Linked DNA regions of Neurospora crassa OR74A. The main gene of each other region encodes a partner of the protein of the gene in region 2 in a complex. Links are inferred from orthologs where the notes say so. Each region holds a gene or a part of one and is shown on either strand. Other genes may lie near its edges.

Region 1 (3,855 bases), on a different chromosome or scaffold from region 2:
GGCTGCTGAGGTCAAGAAGACCAAGATCAAAGTGGTACTCAAGGCCAAAGACCTCCAACCGCTCAAGATCGCGGTTTATGAGGATACGCCGGTCAGTACCATGGTGCAGGTTTTCCGGAAGCAGAGAGATATCAAGCCGGAGCAGACTGTCGTGATACAGTTTGACGGCGAGGAGCTGAACGAGAACATGCTGGTTGGGGCGATGGACATTGAGAGGGACGAGACCAATCAGTTTGAGGTCTACATCAAGTAGTGTATGACCTGGAGAATAAACATGGAGACTGGGTTTTGGGAGACGTTATTCGCACATTTCTTTAGCTGTTATGGGGTTGGAGTTTACCGGGCTTATTCGTCAGGCCTACGAAATCGGCGGTGACTAGTGGATTATTGTTTTTGCTTAAAGTTGTGACAGATGATTACGGAGTTTGGAGTGTTGCAAGTCCTTCCAGGACACGGTTCATGGTGCGGAGGTGGTACCCTAGCTCTTCAGAAGATACCCATACGTATATCACTTTTTGCTACGTCTTGCCTTCACTTTATTTCAACAAGCTTGATGAGTCATGGGAGTTGGTCAGTCAGAGCACAAAAAGAGCCTCCTCGGGTTAAGATGGTCTCATCCCACCTATCGTAGGTGAATATCGAGGGGTTTGACTATGCTCTATCTGCTATTTCGATATACGGTTCGCCATCTGGACTGTAAAACAAACAAGACCTTTACTTATGCGGAACAAGCGAGATAAGAGAATGGATGGAAATAACTACTACTTGTATGACCTGAAGAAACCAATCTATCGTGGCTCACCTGGCTACATTGGTGCCCATCACATCAGCTCCTTACATTTTGCTTGATTTGCCGTCACCATGGAATTGAACCTCAACCAAATGAGCGCACTGGATCAGTTTCCCACATCACTTTCTCTGCACAATAATCGACCTTGCCAGCCAATATGCACTAAACCGCCTTTTGGTGAATATCTCTGTTCATTGTCTTCTCTTCTCGTCCTCCGGGTATAGATCATAACCACACATTGAAAGATTCGCAAGGCGGTAGCTCCCCAATATCCCGTCCTCTTCCTCCCGCTTCTACACACCTTCGTAGATATCCCCAGCATGACTGACTGAATCGCCCATTTCAAACTCTCCAAACTCAAAGCAAAAGCATAATGAACTCCTAAACGCCAGAACCCTTTTTAAGCGTAGCTCCCGAAATGCCACCTTCGCCCCTTATGTGATGAAAACCGTCGATTTTTTGTTGACTGAACCATGCAGCCCCGTGCGTGAACCATTCATTAGGTGAGAATAGCGGCAATAGAAGTGTAACACATTGTTGCCGTTTTTCGTGAAAGAAAGAGCTTAGAATCTCTCCTTTTGCCTCGAGGCAATGATCCGGAGGTTGTTGTACACCTTGCCGGGCTGGTGTCCGAGAATGAGGGAGACGACGGACTCGCGGGCCATGCCAATGTTCTCGAAGGCACCGAGGATATGAACGCGGGAGCCGGCGAGGACGATTCTGGTTTTTGTGGCTTTTCACATCTTGTCAGTACTTCTGCGTCATCTCTTCCATTCTCCCATAATGGTGAACGTACCATTCTCAATCGCAAACTTGGTCTTTCCGTCCTTGCCTGCAATACGACCAATCGCACGTCCCAGAGCATCGGGGCCAAGGGTCTGACGGACATCCTTGACATCGAAGGACTGGATATAGAGCGAATCGAGACGGAGCAGGGCAATGGCGTCGTCAATGTCGAAGCCCATGGCGAAGGCGGAGACGAAATCGGCACCCATCTGCAGGGATTCGGGGGTGGTGGTGTGTCTGCTGGAGCGGAGCTCGACGCGCTTCTCCTTGATGTTCATGCGGACCTGGAGCTTGCAGTGCTCTACAAGTGGGGGGTAGCTGATTGGAAAACAGTCAGTCTTCCTTGCCCAAACATTCACACATGTTTCCGTAGTTTTCCGTCTCACATCTTGGTCCAATTGGCCTTGAGGGCCGACATGCGGTTTGGCGGGATACCAATTTTCCTGGTCTCTGCGCGGCGAATGATCTGGACGTCCTGGCCGGGGGCGAAACGGGGGCGGCCCTCCTCGTCTACAGCCATCTGCACATCTTGGTCATTGGAAGGGGGAGCGGCGGCGCTGGGATCGGTGAGGTTGACGGCCTCGTTGACATCGAGAATGAGCTCGTCCTCTTGCTCGGTCTGGATAGGAATCTGGGCGGCGGGAGCCTTGACAGGCTGACGAAGTGCTGTTGGCGCAGGCATGTTGGGCGAGATGTGTTGTTTATCGGTGGGTGATGGTCAAGGGGCCGAGTCGGGTTGTTTGTTGATTAAAGTCGGTAGTATTTTGGGAAATCGCCGGCCAAGAGTAATGGCAGATTTTTCGAAAATCGGGTGGAGGAGAGACTGGTGACGGGCGACGAAAGAAGTGTCGGGATGCTGGGTTACAGTCGTGAATTGCGGAGATCTGGGAGTCGAAGTTCTGCCTTTTTGCGCCGTCGGTCTCTAGAATTTTGATGTTTATCGATTTTGATAGCGCAGAGGGGAAATTCTTGACAAAAAGCAGTGGATCCACAAAAGAGTACCCAAGTGAAGCTTATCGATTGGCTGCATGGGGGCTAGGACCCTTGCCAATCGCAACGCCCATGCACTAACAGTTACCGAGGAATCCCTGTAATCCCAAGGTTAGCGTCATTGACGCACTTTTGACGGGGACCTGGACCGGCAGCTTTTTCAAACTCCAGGTTCTTGGTCAGAGCAGGAGCACCATCATATGTCATTCTAGACTCGGCCCACCACCAAGCAACAACATCTGATTTTCAGCCTCGAGGACCGACCATGGATACGGCACCGAGCTGTCGTCATCACCATCGTCGCTGAAAACATAGGAAAAAAAAAAGGAACAGGTCGGTCCCTTACTCGGTCGACAGTATGAATTTCAACAATGTCTACTAGCGCTACGACGACCCAGCTGGGCCGCCAGCTATGGTCTTCAGTACGAGATCTTCACACCACCTCGAATCTCTTCACAGCCGCGATACTGCTTCCAACTTGTCAGCCATTACTGAGTCGTCAAAGTCTTGGACTTGGCCCCTCGACATCGCTGGGGTCCCATCAGCGATACGGACAGCAGCAGAGCACGCGACAATTTACCTCTTCCGCAAGTCGCTTTTTCTTCCCAGCAACAAAATCGCAAAGACTACACTATCAACAGTCACAACCATCCCATAATGTCCTACGAAGCTGTACCTCCGGAGGCCTACTCCTCCTTGGGCTCACCACCAGCCCCTCTCCAACGAGCACGGTAGAGGCATCCGCACTATCCGGCAATGCCGCGCAAAAGGCAAAAATGGGCCACTTGGCTCGGCAGGCTTTACTCTTGCGAAGGATACGACAGAACACCACGACCACAACGTTATGCAAGACAGGAAAGCGATTCCAAAGTTCGGGCAAAGAGACCAAGGGTGATCATGACGAGACCAAGGCCGAAGCCAAGTCTTCTACAATTTCTCCTCAGCAAAAGTCCGAGCAACCACAGCAGCCACCGAATACCGAGACGGCTTCCGGTTCTGGTTCCCAGCCGACTCCCGCACATGAATCAATAGCAGATTCCATGTCTAAATACCTTCACCTTCCTCACCTCCCCCATTTGCCTCATCGGCCCACAAAAGAAGAGCTTCTGGCGGCAGCAAGCGGGTTCTGGTCGCGTCTCAAGGTCCGATTCAAGTGGTTCTCCATCAGGAGCATGCGCCCCTGGAACGCCGACGAATGGGGAGCGTTTGTGTCCTTCTTCTTATTCGGTCATTTGGTCTGGATTCTTGTTGGCACAACTACCTTCTTCTCCCTCATCATCCTCTTTATC
Region 2 (3,461 bases):
TAAGCTATCAACTACTCACTGTGAGATGTTGAGGTTGTAAAAAGCTATGTAATGATATATCACGCCGAGCCGAGCCTAGACGAGCCCCGGTAAGGTAGTAAAACACACACACGCACATATGCAAGGAAAAAGGGACCGCGAGCCGCCAAAAGAAGCGGGTTTGCCGTCAGGAGTTCAAAGAGAAATATACCTACAGTGTACGATGTAAAGCAATGAATGTTTATGGATCTGAAATGCCTTTTTTTTTATGTATTTTGTACAAAGAATGTTTTGGGTCCTAGTGATGATCTCTCCCCTCATATTCTTCTCTTATTGTCTTGTTAAGCTTGTGATATAGATGGTTCAAAAAAGCAATGATAGAAGCTAGAACGTACTAAGCGAATGTTCATGCCGTCTTGTGGTTGACCAAGTTAAGATAGGATATGTGCTTGTTGAGACTTGTGAGCCGAGCAGCACATGGATTCAATGGACAAGCGCTTGCTATGCTCAAGTCCACCACCATTGGTCATCAAGGTTCGCACAAGTTGTTCACCGACACTAGACGCAAATCATACGAAAGTCACAGATCACGGCTGAAGAGGGAGACGAGAACGAGACAGAATGCTGGTTGACCAAAGAATCACGCCGGTCTATTGATCGCTCGATGGGAGGGAAACAGACAGAGTCTAACCTCTGCTGTTCCTCAGTCCGCCGCCCTGTTCCTCTTTTGCTTGTGTTGACTCCGCAGGCCCCAAAAACCCGAATCCCGAAAGAAAACCAAGCAAAGCAAGCAAAAACTCCAAGGGATGTGATGATGAACAAAAGCATTGCTACTTTGTTCGTTTTCGTCAAGTGTCGTCGTGTCGTCTCGGGTTGTAGTTTGTCATGGATCAAGGCTGAACCCCCATTTTTTCGTTGTCGTTGTTCCCTAATCCATCTTTGTCGAGATTTCCGTCGTCGGCATGCCGTCTAACGATATAGGGACACACGTCGCGCGCGAACGAGACAAATTGCTTTGGCTGGACATTTTTTGCATTTCCCGTAGATGACGAAACGATTTGGAACTCGACTGTGATGATGCTGTGACCCTTTGTGTCCTCCCCTCATCATCGTCCCCTACCAAAACCTCCCATCATGTCAAGAAAGGGGGGATTTAGCGGTGCTACAAGAAAAGACAAGCGAGTTAGCCATGCGTCTTGTTTCTTTTCCCATAGCCCTTGCTTCACGCGACTGGGAACAGTGTTTGTAACTCCTTGGCCGTAGAGGTTCTCCTTTTCCCGCAAGATGTGCCCTTCTCTCGTTTGTGGCACCGCGGATTTTCCACTGTTTCCAGTCGCGTGCGCAGTTCCGCCCGTCTCCACCGTAATGTTTTCTCTTCTTACCTTGGTGAAGCCAATGTCGTTGGCCTTCTCACGGAAGCACTGACGGCAGATGTTGAGGCCGTACTTGCGGATGAGACCGGCAGAGTGGGTGCAGACACGGCTAAACAACGTTGAAGAAACGCCCGGTTAGCAACTTGAACTTCAGTTTTCGTCAAACTTGAGTGGTGAAGCCGCATTTTCCTCCTCCGTGATTTTCGCATTCTTGACTTGGTTTTCTGAACTCTCCTCCTCTTTCAAATTTTCCTCAAAAAGCCACATCGCCCTAGCATTGATCTTGCCCCAAACAGCAAAGTACCATGCCATATTCCCATCTCTTGCTCAGCTGTGATGTATGTGTAGATTGTGGATTGTGGATAATTGGTGTTGCTGGACAATAATCCTTACCAAGAGCGGGAGCCCTTGCCGTAGGTGCGGGGGCGGGAGTTCCAGACGGATTCGTGAGACATCTTGATTTTCGGGGTTTTGCTGTCGCAGCGAGAAAATCGTTGTCGTGCGGGCGGCGGGTTGACGATGACTTGGTCTGTCGGGCTGGGGGGGGAGGGGAGGTGGTTTTTTTCGCAAGAGGGCTGCCAAATATGGGGCGAGATTTTTCTGTGGGCGGTTTCGCAGGTCCGGTCCGGCAGCAACTGGCCCTCGTCCACTGCCGCCAGGGCTTGTGCACTTCGGGCTTGGCACGCACGCAGTGCACAGTTCAAGTCGGTTGCGTGGCAGCTGAGTGTGGCTGGTGCAGTGTGCAGTCCGTCTCCAGGCAGAGGAAAGAACAATTCAGTGGCGCAGCAGGGCCACCTCCATGTGTGGCTGGTACTGGCACCCAGCCTAAAAGTCTTATCGATAACAATAGTTCTCTTCTACCTATCTTATCGCGTTCGCGCACTGTTTTAGGAGACACAGTGCGGCTACAGCAGACTCAACTTGAGCTTCAACGAACTTGAAGGCCCCACCAATGACCGCACGCAGCATGCGGGGCTCCATCGACTCGGATGACGGATTTCAGGGGATTTTGGGGAAGCTCAAGAGCGCTGACACGACCAACTGGCAAGGATCCCAATGGTTCGACCAGTGGTCCGTTGCTGACCGGCGGACAACCTGGAATTATCGAGGTGCCAGCAAAGCGCAAAGTGGCATCTTAGGTCCCCGAGAAGGTCACATCTGATTTCAAACAGTCCATCTGGAGCTTTGCCAATTTAGGATACCTTGCCCATCATCTTGAGGTCCCTTTGCCACCAACATCTCGTGCCTGTTGGTCTTCTCTTCCCTTCTTCTCCAAGACAACCTTTAGAGCGTTTGCGATAATCAGCTTCATCCACACGCTTCTTCACACACCATGGTCCTTCTTAAGAGCTTGGTGGTAGCCAGCTTGGCTGCTGCCGTGGCGGCCAAGTCTGCCGTCCTCGACCTTATCCCCTCCAACTTCGACGATGTCGTCCTCAAGTCCGGCAAGCCAACCCTCGTCGAGTTCTTTGCGCCCTGGTGCGGTCACTGCAAGAACCTCGCCCCCGTCTACGAGGAGCTTGCTACCGCTCTGGAGTACGCGAAGGACAAGGTCCAGATCGCCAAGGTCGACGCCGATGCTGAGAGAGCGCTGGGCAAGCGTTTTGGTGTCCAGGGCTTCCCCACACTCAAGTTCTTTGATGGCAAGAGCGAGCAGCCGGTAGACTACAAGGGCGGACGTGATTTGGACAGCCTGTCTAACTTCATTGCCGAGAAGACCGGCGTCAAGGCCAGGAAGAAGGGTTCTGCTCCAAGCCTCGTTAACATCCTTAACGATGCCACCATCAAGGGCGCCATTGGCGGCGACAAGAACGTCCTGGTTGCTTTCACTGCTCCCTGGTGCGGCCGTACGTAACCTCCAAACCCTTTTTTTTGTTTTGTTACTTTCTATCTTCGACCGAAAATGATTAGAACTAATAAACTCCCAGACTGCAAGAACCTCGCTCCTACCTGGGAGAAGCTCGCCGCTACCTTCGCCAGCGACCCGGAGATCACCATTGCCAAGGTTGATGCCGATGCGCCTACCGGCAAAAAGTCCGCCGCCGAGTATGGCGTTTCCGGTTTCCCCACGATCAAGTTCTTCCCCAAGGGAAGCACTACCCCCGAAGA

The links.
Region 1: NCU03738 (region 2) and NCU07956 share a complex: the UniProt entries of both Schizosaccharomyces pombe proteins name them as parts of the small ribosomal subunit. The link is inferred for Neurospora crassa OR74A from reciprocal best matches to the Schizosaccharomyces pombe genes rps29 and pno1.

What each region holds. Positions count from the first base shown.
Region 1 is NC_026504.1:1,226,056-1,229,910, forward strand, and holds NCU07956 (pre-rRNA-processing protein PNO1), read right to left. Parts: upstream 2,510-3,855; 5' UTR 2,259-2,509; coding exon 1,963-2,258; intron 1,895-1,962; coding exon 1,587-1,894; intron 1,524-1,586; coding exon 1,354-1,523; 3' UTR 750-1,353; downstream 1-749. Other genes in the region: NCU07957 (hypothetical protein), read left to right, coding at 1-253; pod-1 (mitochondrion biogenesis protein), read left to right, coding at 2,938-3,855. UniProt on the Schizosaccharomyces pombe protein: Required for small ribosomal subunit (SSU) synthesis. Has a role in the processing of early nucleolar and late cytoplasmic pre-RNA species.
Region 2 is NC_026505.1:2,254,382-2,257,842, forward strand, and holds NCU03738 (40S ribosomal protein S29), read right to left. Parts: upstream 1,933-3,461; 5' UTR 1,808-1,932; coding exon 1,746-1,807; intron 1,462-1,745; coding exon 1,362-1,461; intron 1,142-1,361; coding exon 1,133-1,141; 3' UTR 587-1,132; downstream 1-586. Other genes in the region: NCU03737 (elongation factor Tu), read left to right, coding at 1-3; erp38 (protein disulfide-isomerase tigA), read left to right, coding at 2,686-3,199, 3,281-3,461.